Linked DNA regions of Mus musculus. The protein of the gene in region 3 purifies or fractionates together with the protein of the main gene of each other region. This does not show direct contact. Links are inferred from orthologs where the notes say so. Each region holds a gene or a part of one and is shown on either strand. Other genes may lie near its edges.

What was found. Proteins that work in one complex are often made in the same cells at the same time.
Region 1: the proteins of Smc1a (region 3) and Wapl purify together in Homo sapiens (affinity purification with mass spectrometry; 7 studies listed by BioGRID and IntAct, with this or other methods). This does not show direct contact. The link is inferred for Mus musculus from reciprocal best matches to the Homo sapiens genes SMC1A and WAPL.
Region 2: the proteins of Smc1a (region 3) and Cdca5 purify together in Homo sapiens (affinity purification with mass spectrometry; 7 studies listed by BioGRID and IntAct, counting the BioPlex papers as one, with this or other methods). This does not show direct contact. The link is inferred for Mus musculus from reciprocal best matches to the Homo sapiens genes SMC1A and CDCA5.

Annotation. Positions count from the first base shown.
Region 1 is NC_000080.6:34,672,428-34,676,727, reverse strand, and holds the start of Wapl (wings apart-like protein homolog), read right to left. Parts: upstream 2,801-4,300; 5' UTR 2,368-2,800; exon of another isoform or gene 2,060-2,367; intron 1-2,059. UniProt on the Homo sapiens protein: Regulator of sister chromatid cohesion in mitosis which negatively regulates cohesin association with chromatin. Involved in both sister chromatid cohesion during interphase and sister-chromatid resolution during early stages of mitosis.
Region 2 is NC_000085.6:6,083,971-6,087,896, forward strand, and holds the start of Cdca5 (sororin), read left to right. Parts: upstream 1-1,126; 5' UTR 1,127-1,192; coding exon 1,193-1,238; intron 1,239-1,427; coding exon 1,428-1,519; intron 1,520-2,431; coding exon 2,432-2,497; intron 2,498-2,581; coding exon 2,582-2,617; intron 2,618-3,926. Other genes in the region: Zfpl1 (zinc finger protein-like 1), read right to left, coding at 1-90, 382-483. UniProt on the Homo sapiens protein: Regulator of sister chromatid cohesion in mitosis stabilizing cohesin complex association with chromatin. May antagonize the action of WAPL which stimulates cohesin dissociation from chromatin.
Region 3 is NC_000086.7:152,014,944-152,019,227, reverse strand, and holds the start of Smc1a (structural maintenance of chromosomes protein 1A), read right to left. Parts: upstream 2,801-4,284; 5' UTR 2,697-2,800; coding exon 2,588-2,696; intron 2,509-2,587; exon of another isoform or gene 2,342-2,508; intron 1-2,341. UniProt on the Homo sapiens protein: Involved in chromosome cohesion during cell cycle and in DNA repair. Central component of cohesin complex. The cohesin complex is required for the cohesion of sister chromatids after DNA replication.

The DNA of each region.
Region 1 (4,300 bases), on a different chromosome or scaffold from region 3:
TATGAAACTTACAATGTTTAAAAAAAAAAAGCTTACTACTAACCAACTCACAATGCAATACCTACAAATCTAACTTAAAACATGCAAATTCCATATCTTCATACACAACTTAATCAGAATAGTGTAAACACCCAAAAACAAAATCTTTAGTCACAATATATTAAGTTTTCCAGGATCTAAACAATGTCAGTTGGCCAAACTTAGTTCTTTGACATTTTTACAGCTCCTCATAAAGGGTTAGAAAAACTTATTTTCTCATAGAGTACAATCTGTAGCTTCTACCCAAGCTTAAAGATTCTGATTCTTAGACTAAAGTGATTTTAACTGACTTTAAAAAGCTCCTTCAATGGTCATCTCCCTAAACTCAAGAAACCATTCTTCTACTTCCTGTATCTCATTGCTGAGTAACATCTTTCTGAAGTTGGAGAACTCCATTTTACAAAGGTACATGATTTATTATTATAAAATAGAAATATATAGCCTTGATTTTCCTCTTCAATTTACAAACTCATTTACCTGATTTACCCAAAAATATACTGAAAAAATTTTACAAGAAAAGTCAAAAAAAAAAATCAAACACTTTAAAAAATATAAGGTATAGTGCTTTTATAGCACAATCAATCATTATCCATTTCTTAACACTTTGGCCTTCTGCAGTTTAAATATCAATTTATCAATTCTAGGGGGAAGGTAAGCAATTACTTAAGGGCTTGGAAAATCTTCATTACTTGGAAACTTACAATAAGAATAATATTTAACTTATATTTTCAAATATTTTTGAGCTACACTTTTAGTATTTCTATTAAGTTCTTATAACTTAACGAATCACTATCCAATTTAGTTCAGCAAATATTCAGAAGACAACTCACCACCACCCTAATGTTTGAAAGGAAAACAACTCTGATCAGATAAAATAATAATTTAGTCATCGTACACATCTGTGCTAAAAGAAATTTTAGCTTTCCTCAGAGAGTTTCCATTTTGTAGTTCTGAACACTAACAAGCTTCATTGTCTTTCTTGTTAAGTATAGCCTATTAAACAAAACCAAGTGTAATTGGGCAGCTGCCAAAGGCAAGAAAAGTCATTTCTTTAAGCTGACTACAGACACGCAGACCTACACACATATATACATTCCAACAAAGTTGGAATGTTTTGGGCACACATACATGGCAATCATCTAAAAATGCTGACTAAAGCCAAAAAAAAAAAAAAATCTAGACTTGATCTTCTTTATGACATCTGAAAAACTCACCGTAAAAAACAGTAAAGCATTCACTGTGCAAGATTAAGATCTGCAAATGAATATATGATACTGAGCTAAGTAATAAGACAACTGTATTTTTAAAAGATCACGTCTCAGAAATATTCGCTGATGTATTAACATCATTAAATATTGATGAAATATCAGTGATTTTTTTAATATTAAGGAATGGGGAGCGTACTGATTAGAAAATATGGTTGAGTTATTATGTACAGAATCCAGGAGATATGAGTACAAGAGTTACGTGATTGCTTTTACTGTTTTCCATAACGTCCATTTTAAAAAGTCAGCAGACTACTGCGATGGCATTATCTAAGCTTAACATATGTACAAATTCAGCATATATATTTGGCATGACGTTTTACGCACATTTCAGACACACTATCTTGTTCTGGCTTCAAATTTCACCAACAGTCCTAACTAAAAAGGAAAAGAAGGTTCACAACTGATTGTTTTCGATTTGGGAGGCCTTCGCTTCATCCCAAAGCCCAGCTGACTTTTGATGGAAGTGCACTGCGATTTAAATTAGGGAAAGGGTATACAAAACAACCAACCAACCTCCTTACACTGAAGCTGTAAAGAAACCTAGCCACTTCCAGGAAAGACACCCAAGGTAATGCATTAGGGGGGCTTCAATAAAGAGAGGAGAGTGGAATGGGCAAACAGAAACCCTCACCTGAGGCTGCGAGTGCGCCCGGAGGCTGGAGCCGAGACACCCCTCGGGCTGGACACTCACGCAACTTTTCTCCTCCCAACCCCCACAGCCTAGGAAAGGGATGTCGCTTCGGACGCCCCGGAAGCTTCTGCTACCGAGTCCCCGAAGCAAGGCCTCTCGGTGACGGCTAGAGGCGGAGGAGACGACGGGGAAAAAGAATTCGGGACTCAAATCAACCGGACCGGGTTTGGAAAAGAGAAGTCAAATCAAGTAGCCGGAGAAGAACTCAAAAGGCAAAATTAAGAGGTGGGAAGGGAAAGAGTTTCTTGCGATCCTCCGGTGCCCAACTTCCTTAGAAGCCAGGTGAGCAACGAGCCTCGCGCCGCCCCTGCCGCCTCCACCCGCCCCAACTCACTCCGGGCCTAGGCAGCCGCCCGAGACCTCACTTACCCTCGGCGCCTGGCGGGTGCTTTGGCCTCGGGCCGCCTCCGCCTCTCCGGCTCCCAACGGCCCGCGGGCGGGCGCGGGAGCCCCGCGCGAGAGACCAGTGCCGACCGGTGCCACCGAGAGGGGCGAGGGGCTCTGCTGCCGTCACAGTCCGCGGCTCCGCTTCGGTAAATAGGAAGCTCGGGCGACAGGGGGGGTGGGGGGTGAGCGGCGGCCCCGCAACTTCCCTCCCCACCTCAGGCGCGCCGGCCGGACAGGGCCTAGGCCTCCCTGGCGGCCGCCGCCGGTGCCGAGCCCGCTACGTGCCCCCGCTGGGCCGCCGCCGCCTTCTGCGCCGCCGCCTCCGCCGGTGAATGGTCAGCGCTGGAGTTTGAACAGGGCCCTGAACCATCTCAACGCCATTTGCGCTCCCGGCCCCCCACCTCCTTCCTCCAACAGCCGCTCGCTCCGTCACTCCGCTTCCCACAGGCCCCGCGCGGCCGCCCGACTCCGCAGCCAATCGTACGGCCTCTTACTCAAACCGCCGCGCAGGCGCCGCGCCCCGCACGCGCCGGCTACCACCATTGGTCGGACCGCGTGGCCCGACGGGAGTTGTAGTTCTCTCTTCCGCAAGGTCCTGGTGTCTAAAGCCCGGTTCCGGAGCTGGCGAACGGTATAGGTTCTGGCTAAGGGCCTGCTGGACTTCACCGACTCCGGAGCCAGTCCCAGTTCCTAGCCACGCGACGAGACGCAGGTGCAGCGCGGGAAGGCTCGCGGCACAGTGCAGGCAGCTGTGTCAATCGTTTCCCCTCCAGGGACCCTCCGGTGTCTAGGGACAGAGACTTGTGCAGCTGCGCCGAGCCTGCTGGGCCACCGCCCGGACCTTGGAGGCGGGGAACTTGGGGCCGCCTTTGACCTGGTCTGACGGTGCGAGAGAGCCAACGCAGGTAAACGAGCAGCGAAACCTGGAGCAGTCGGGTGCTGGTCTCCTCGCAGCCGGGATCCGCTTCAGCCGGCCACTTCATCCTCTCTCTCCTTTCTTGTTCAGTCCCCACTACGGAGTTCTGTCCCCTACCTGTTAGCAATGACACCCCACACCCCCACCCCACCCCCGCTCCCCGAGTATTTTATGTTACTAAGGAATTATCGTCATCCTTATCGAACGTGCTTACGGTAATGTGGCTTTAAATTTAAAACACACACACACACACACACACACACTAAAGTGTTGATAGGTAAAATGATCCAATACGTTTATTTTGTTTTAGACTAAGCCTCTGGAAACTGGGAAAGAAGGGAATAAATTAACTGAGGATGTCCTTCGATGTTGGAGCTGTGGGATATGTACACATATGCTATCATACCAGTATTTATGTCTCAAATTGTTCATAATAAAGTTTTGGTTTGGGGGGGACGGATTGTTTGTTTTGGTTTGGGTTTTCAACTAACTAGTCCCGGACAAGAAGGTAGTGAATGATGGACGGAGTATTTTTAAGTTTTCTTCTGCAGAGACTTTTTTTCATGTCAGTGAATCACCTGGTTGAGAAACTTGGAGAGGTTTTATTTTAAACCTTCAATGAGAAAATAGCTTTCTAAAACAGTTTCCCTTAGGAGAAGTGAGTGGTCAGTCATTGGCCTTGCAGCTAATGGAGACTCATCTGAGAAATTAGAAAACTACTAATTGCTTTTAGTGAAAAGACAACCTCTTCTGCCAGATTTGCTTTTAAAGACTCCTCAAATTTCAAGCTCCCTCCACTGTAGTCAATGGATTTTTCCAACAAAGCTAAAAAGGAAAAATAAAAACTTCTGACTGAGAGGATAAGTTAATAGTAGAGTTTTTCTCCAGCATGCCCTTGGTTAGATGCCCTTGGCACTCCCTTCTGCCACCCTCTTAAAAATAAAAAACATGAGCACTTCCCAATAGGAATTTAAGGTGGATTTTCAACACTTGAATTGT
Region 2 (3,926 bases), on a different chromosome or scaffold from region 3:
CTCCCGACTGGCCAGGGGTGTGTTGCACAGGCGGCAATTGGGGTTGTAGTCACTATCTTGTAGCCACTGCAAGTAGGACTGCACGATGCACTGGAGTGGGAGAGAGATGTCACAACTGGTGCCCCAGGCTCCACGATGCACACACCACTCCAAGGCTCAAATGCCTCGTTTTCTCTCATCAGACTCATCATTTCATCTGTTCCATTTATTGAGTGACCATTTATTGAGCAGCTACTGAAGGCATAGCAGAGCGCATCACACCCCATGTTCTTGCCCTTGTGGAGCTTACAGTCTAGCATAGGTCCCCACATGGATTTAGAAGTAGGCAATCTTGTCTGCCCACCCACCCGCCCTGCTCAGACACTGCTCTAAACGCCCCACCTTGGCGTGATTGGCTACTAGGCAGTGCTCGCAGACGTTAACTCGGTGTTCGAAGCAGAACAGGTTCGTCACCTTCCTCTTGGGGCACTTGCAAAGTCCCATGACCGATCCTGGAGGGTGTGGTGGGGTGAAATCAGTTAGCAGGAAGCCAGGTTTTGGTGGCTGCCAGTTTGTTTTCACCAACCCAGTTCTCTTCTTTTAAATCTCTCAGTCCCGTCTCACACCAGTCCCAACACCAAATTCTAGCATAATGCCTTAGCATGGGTAAAGCCACGTCTCCTGTACAGATCGTACCACAAACGACCGACCCTTCATTCCATCAAGACCCAGGAAGGCCCTCGCCAGATCTCTGCACAGCTCCAATACCACCAGCCCCGCCCCCAAGACCCACCCCCTCTTGACCCGCCCCCAGCTGGCCGACCACATTCTGGATGTCCGCGAACCTCCGCGATGCCGATCGTGACCGGTGCGTACGGTAATGAAAAGCGCGGAAGGCCGGGGACTGAGCTCACCAACTCCGGTAGCTGCAGCTCCGCTCCCTTCAGGTCCGGCCTGATTATCCCTCCGCTGCCACGTCTCTTCCGGGTGCGGCGCACGCTGATGACGCCACAGCGCCGCAGGATACGCCTCTGCCTTTTGCTAGCTAGACGTAAAGCCTGTGACAACAAAAGCGGATGGTCCGCCTCCGGCCTGTGTCACTTCCGCTTTCTCGCTAGCAAGGCGGGCAATTTGAACGTTTGAAGCAGCAAAGTTCCCGGTTGGCGCGAGCCTGAGTAGGCGACCGCGGCGGAGACTGAGCCCGACCGTACACATGGCGGAGCGGCGAACACGATCAGGAGGGGCTGCCCAGCGGTCTGGTGAGCACGGGAGCAGTGGAGCGGGGTTGTTTGGGGAACAAAACTTGGCTCCCGGTGGAAGACGCCCCAAAGGGGTAGTTGGAAAACGACTTTTGCTTTTCCGAACTCGTCAAGCATCTTGTTTCGTTTGTTTGTCGCCTTTTCTTCGAGCAAAGTTTTGCTCACCATCAAACGTGTTTTCCTTTCCAGGGCCCAGGACTTCACTTACTAAGCCTTCGAAGTCGTCCAAGCGGAAATCTGGCTCAGATCTCCCGAACTCGTTCTCTGAAATCTGGCCGAGGGTGAGTTCCTGGTCCCCCAGGTGTTGGGGTTGGGTTTGTGCGCTGCGTATTCAGATGCTAATTTCTATGCCTAGGTATCCTTAGTCCGGCTAACTAGCACCTCCGGGCTCACTGTTGTTTTTTTTTTTTTAAATCATCTCTGATTGGTTGATAAAGAGCTGATCAGCCTATGGCTGGGCAGGAGAGGACAGAGGAGGCGGGACATCAGCGCCCATTGAGGCGTCCGGAAGAGTCTAGGGAGAGAGAAGTGGGAGAGGGGGAGGCGCGGAGAGAGCAGGTGGTTTCACTCTAAGGTCAAGAGGAGGGAGAGAGCAGTCATGAGGGCACACATGGACCAGATTGAGTCAGAGTAAGACTGAGATTCAGGTAGAGGACCGTGTGACTGGTAGATAGGCAGCCTGAGAGGGTTAGAGTAGCTCAGAACCTGCCCAACATAGTGCCAGCAGCCTTTGAATAACAGCTCTGTGTCCTTTACTCAGGAGGTAGTGGCGTTGGGGGGAAGAAATGCCCTGCAGTTATTTGGGAGCAAGGGAGTCAAAAAACTCCCGCCCAATGCTTCCACAGTTGGTGCCCAACATGGTGCAAGAACTTACAAACTTAGAACCAGGCTTAGAGGCTGAGAAGTCTTGGATAGAAGATAAGGAAAACTTTTCTCAGCAACACCCCCAAAGTACTTTTTTTTTTTTTCCTCGAGACAACGTTTCTCTGTATAGCCCTGGCTGTCCTGGAACTCACTTACTTAGTAGACCTGGCCGGCTTCGAACTCAAAGATCCACCTTCCTCTGCCTCCCAAGTGCTGGGATTAAAGGCGTGCACCACCACTGCCCGGCTCCCAAAGTACTTTTACACTGACCTAGAGGGCTTTGAACTATTGTAAAGCTCATGGATAATACTTTCTTTTACCCCCCCCAGACAACTCCAGCGGTCCCAGTCAGAAAGGCCATCGTCTTGAAGAAGATCGTAGCTCATGCAGTAGAGGTGAGGGGCTGAGAGAAGGCTTTGGGAGTGAGATGTCAAAACTGGGCTTAGCTATTGATTGATCAGTTGATGTCATCCCTACAGGTCCCAGATGTCCACACGGTTCGAAGAAGTCCTAGGGTGAGTTCAGTTCTGTTTATTTCTGTTTATTTGTGTAGGATTTACCCTTAGAGGGTAGGCATACACTTCTACCCAGGCAACTGCTTCATGGCTTGTCAGTTTAGGTCTCAGTGTATAACACTGTTTCCTGAACTGGAAGTTACGGTAGACCAGACTGGCCTCAAATTCATAGAGATCCACCTGCACCAGTCTCTGCAGATAGATTCAAATCTTAGAGATGGGCATGCTACCAGGACTGACTGTAGTTACCAGTCTTGTTTCCTGCCTATGGGTGTCATTCATTTCTTTTTTTTTTTGGGTTTTTTTGTTTTGTTTTGTTTTGTTCCCCAGAGCTGAAAACCACTGAGCTAAATCCCCAACCCCAACCCCTCATTTCTAGTTCTTTATGCTCTGAACATTCTCACTATTTTTCTTAAAAAGTTATGGTTTAACCACTGGGCTTCTGTAGACTGTTTTGCCACTGTTTTGTTGTGATGTTGTGATGGCGCACGCCTTTAGTCGCAAGATTTGGGAGGCAGAGGCAGGCGGATCTCGGAGTTTTAGGCCAGCCTGGTCCACAGAGTGATAAGGTTGTTTTGCTGAGTGTTTATTTATGTTTTGTTTGTTTGTTTGTTTGTTTTATGGTTATAGAATGAGTTATGTGTAGGGGCTGGAAAGATGGTTCTGGGTAAAAGCAGTTTTCAGATTCCATCAGATGGACCCTACACACCTACAGCTTCAGTTTGAGAGTATCCAACGCCCTCTTCCGGACACATGCATACGCAGTGTAAAAGGTGCTGGGTGCTGGTGCACACCTTTAATTCCAGCACTCAGAAGGCAGAGGCAAGTGGATCTCTTTTGACTTATAGGCTAGCTTGGTCTACAGAGTGAGTTCCAAGACAGCCAGGGTTACCTGTGGCCAAGCCTGGCCCTGAATTTAGTATGTGCGTAAAGCTGGTTTTGAATTCCTGATTTTTCAATCTCCCAAGTGTACCCAGTGGTGCTTTGCTCTCTGACCAGGGTTGTGTTGCTGGCTGGCTTTGGTACTCTTCCTGCCTGGTATTTCTCAGTGTCCTGGGAATTGCAGACGTGAGGCAAATTGCCAGTTTGATTTGTTATTCTGATGTGTGTGGTGCTGGAGATCTATCCCAGGGCAGTACTAAGCAGGTACCCTGCTGTTGAGATAATCCCAGCCATCTTGTGATGGTGGAGGTGGGTTTTCAAGTCCTAGAACTTGCTTTGAAGACCAGGCAGGCCTCAAACTCACCGAGATTCAACCCCCACCCTAGTGCTAGGGTTAAAGGCATGCACTACCCCACCTAGCTTCCCA
Region 3 (4,284 bases):
AATTTAGCTTATCCAAAAGCCTTAGGAAACAGGTATTTCCTCTGCTTTAAAGCGGAAGAAACCTAGTCATTCCTTAAGTTAAAACTGTCAGCGAGTCCTTTACTTCAACTGACAGGATGACAAAACAGTCTCCGTATCATCAGGCTTCAAGCCCAAAGTCCTTCATTCTGCTACTCGTTTGTTAAAACCTTAAAAAATAAACCTCGTGGGGCTGGGGACTTGACCCAGCTGAGAGTGTGCTCGCCAGGCACGCACAAGACCTTCAGCTCAAACCCAAACTCTCAAGTAAACCAGGTGTGGAAGTACACACTTGTAATTCCAGCACTCTGAAGATGGAGGCAGGAAGATCAGAAAGTCAGATTTGAAACCAGGCTGGGATATGAGATCCTATCTTAAAAACAAACGAACAACAAAAACCCAAGATCTACTTGGTGCTCAATAAGTGGCACATCTATCAGTATTCAATCTGGAGTCAACTCTCTCTCCAGTTGCAGCAGAGCTAGTAAATCACATAAATTGGAATTAGTCTTGTAACCACCAATTTCCAATCTTTGGACTTCTCCCTTGATTTTCAAGGATCACATCTCACAAGTACAATCCTCTTTTACTATAGTCATTAAGTGTTGGAAAGATTCTTCTAATGCAAATGTTAACAATAACTATATACCAATAAAACATCTCAAGGAATGGCATCTTGAGAACACTCATGCACTAGTGATGAAGATGAAAAAAAATGTACCATAAATGTGTAACCAAAAATAAATTTACAAAGTGGGAATCAGAGATCAAAAAATGCTTCATGGTGCCAAGCTTTGAAGGGTATGCAGAGGCAGAAAGCAGGTGTGGTAAAACACAGCTATAAATCTAGCACTTGGGAGGTAGGGGCAAGAGGATTTAAGAGTTTGAGGCCATAAGAAATTATCTCCAAAACAAACAAACAAACAAAAGGTGGGACAGTGGTGGCACACACCTTTAATCCCAGCACTAGGGAGGCAGAGGCAAGTGGATCTCTGTGGGATGGAGGCCACCTTGGTCTACAGAGGAAGTTCCAGGACAGTCAAGACTACACAGAGAAGCCCTGTCTGGCAACCCCTCCCCCTCAAAAAATAGAGAGGTAAGAACCCAGGCCTGTTCCAAACAGCTGGATTTTTAATTCTAACAACGCTGAGAGAACTCGATTTCAACAAGTGGTACAACCAAGCATTTTCTACAAGAGTCACAAGACCAAAATCCTAAGAAATTTAGTGGAACTCAAAGCATCAACCCTCTAGGCCAGTGGTTCTTAAACCGTAGTAGGGGAAGTAAGTAACCCGTCATTACCACCCCCACCCGCACTCCAAACTCTGACATTGTCCGAACACATTTTTGATGGGCATTTCAGGGGAGTGGAGGTGCTGTCATTTAGTGGAGAGAGGTCAGGAAAACAGCTAAACATTCTACAATGCACAGAACCAACCGCACAGAGAAAGTGTGTGGCTAAAGAGCTAGTGTTAGGAAACAATGCTCTAGACAGAGAACAAAACCGCAAGCAAGAGTCCAGTGAAGGTATTCGCTATGAGCTACTTCAAGGTAAGGGTGGCCTAGCAGGCTAGAAAATGAGTAAACTAGAATATCTCTGGAGTGGAGGAACACAGCAAAGATTCATAACGAATACTTCTAGAGATGGGTGAGAGGAAACTACGAGCTATACAGCAAAAACTAAGATATGAAATAGTAGGCTTAAGTATGAAAAAGTAGGGTTACTATCAAAGTCACTCTAACTTATCAGCCTAACCCCTTTTCTACAAAACATTTATAATGGCCTAAGTGTTATCTTATTTTGTACTTTGCTTCTCCTTTCCCGCGATCTCGGATTTGCTCTCCCCGCATAAACTTAACTGATAAAACCCCAAACCCTCCACCAATTTGGCAAGCGAACAAGTTCAGGCTTATTTACGGTTTTCTGGTAGGAAAAAGGCAAATCAAAGCAACAATCTCTTAGGCGTGTGGGGGGCATGCGGAGGGGTGGGGGGCATCGCAATCCCACGCTGCTGAGCGGAACGCTGGGTCAGAAATTCAAAAGTGCCACAGCAGAGAGGGGGGGGGGGAAAGGAATCAGAGTGGAGCGTTCCATCGGGAGGTGCGGGTGCGGGGAGGGCTGAGTAGAGCACAAAGTACACAGCTTGGGATCGGACGCCAAAGCAGAGTTACGGTTCCCAAATTTTCCCAGAGGTGTCAAACAAGTTTAGGAAGGTGGAACAATGCAGACCGGAAGGAAGCCGCGGGCCAAACAACTGGCAGCAAATTTCGGGAACGCCTCTTTTGGCGGGAGGGGTAGTGGGCGGGGCGACGCACGGTTCGGCCCATACCATTCGGGCCAGAGGGGGTCTGCGCCGAACTCCGCCAACTGACAGTTGGGAAGAGACTCGAGTTCAGTGTATGCCAAAAGGGAAAGCAAGTTCAGATCCAAGCCCCACCAAGAGGATCAAGGAACATTTCAGGGTTCACAATGTCTCGGGTTGCATGGGGGTAGGTTGTACTACTTTGCAGACAAGCAGGGGGAACCGGACCGGGACGCGCGCAGGGCCACAGCCGGTTTTAATCTCACCAGAGCCATTGGGTCCAATGATGGCGGTAAACCTCTGAAATGGTCCGATAATCTGTCGACCCTTGTACGATTTAAAGTTCTCGATCTCAATCAGTTTCAGGAAACCCATGACAGCGGCGCTGGCGTAGGAAAGGCCGCGCCTTACTCCTGGGAACGAGGTTAGCCCGCGCGGGAAATAGCGCAGTGCAAGCCGGGTGTACAGTAAGCCTCGCGATAATAAGTCCAAGCCAATCACGATTTCCTGTTTCCGGGGCCAGAAATGGTCACTTCCGCCTGAAATAGCGCTTTTGTTGAATTGTTGCCCGGCTGGAGCACGCGCTGGGCGCTCAGGCCCCGCCCCTCTACGTAGTTACCCAGCAACTGTTGAAGTGGCCGCCAACTAGGACGGGAAGCGTTAGTGCTCTGATCACTTCGGGGGAAATCAGAGCAAGCAGGCGGGGTCTGAGCCCACGCTTGCTGGGAAAGAAGTCACTTCAAGGTTCTGCCAGAGCTAGTGGGAGGCAGAAGCTCGGCTGGGGTTTGTAGTCTAGCCAGCAAGGGGGGAGACGGGGAGAAGCGCTTCAGCCAAGGATTCAGTCGGGAATGGGAAGGCGCCCTCGGAAGGGTGGGCAGTTTGGGATGGAAGAGGGATCAAAGGGAGGACTTAGATGAGGCGAGCTTAGAGTGTGAGGACGATGAGAGTATCTCTTAGACAACAGAGATACAAGTTGGGAAAGGCTGTGTTCTGAAATACTGCCCCTATCGTCTGCTTCTCTCTTATTTCTCCAAGCAGAATTTAAAGACTGCCGTTGTAAATCCAAGAGTCAACTTGGGTCCAATCCATTTTCGAGCTTCAAAACTGGAATTCTGTACTGAGAAAGGTATCTTGTGTGAACACTAGGAGTCCAGGTCCTTAAGCCAGTGCTCCAGCTCTGTCCTTTTCCCTCCCTGTTAAATCAAGTTTCCCCCATTTCCACCACTTCCCCTCTGTCTCTTTCCCTCCCCCTTTCTCTCCTCTCTCCCTCCCTTTCTCTTTCTCTCTCCTCTCTCCCTTCCTCTCCCCCTCCCCTCTCTCTCCTCTCCTTCCCTCTCCCTCTCTCCTCCCTCCCTCTCTCGCTCCAACTCTGTCCTTTTCCCTCCATTACATCAAGTTTCCCCCATTTCCACCTCTTCACCTCTCTCTCTCCCTCCCTCTTTCTCTCCCTCTCCCCCCTCTCTCTCCCCTCCTTCCCTCTCCCTCCCTCTTTTTCTCCTCTCTCCCCCCTCTCTTCCTCTCTCCTCTCTCTCCTTTATACCCTGTCCTTCTCCAATTCTTTTCCATCCCCTTTTTCTTCATTCTTTCATTCCCCTTCTATCACCTTATAGTCATGATCTTAGCAGCCCAGGATGTCTACTGAATCATCCCCCTATTGTGACAACAGATTGTCTTTATAGGCCGGGGTTAGTGCCATTTTCAGTTAGATATGGAAAGAGTCTGGTGGTTTCCACAGCTATTCCTGGGTATCTTCTTTTATTTTTTCAAAAGTTTCTCCATCTAGCTCTGACTGTCCTGGAACTCTGTAGACCAGGCTGGCCTCGAACTCAGAGATCCACCTGCTGGGATCAAAAGTGTGTGCCACCACTGCCCGGCTTTGTAACTGTGTGCAAGTGCAAGCGTGATCAAATGTGTGCACAAGCCACAGACATTAGGCATCAGATCCCTTGGAGCTGGAGTTACA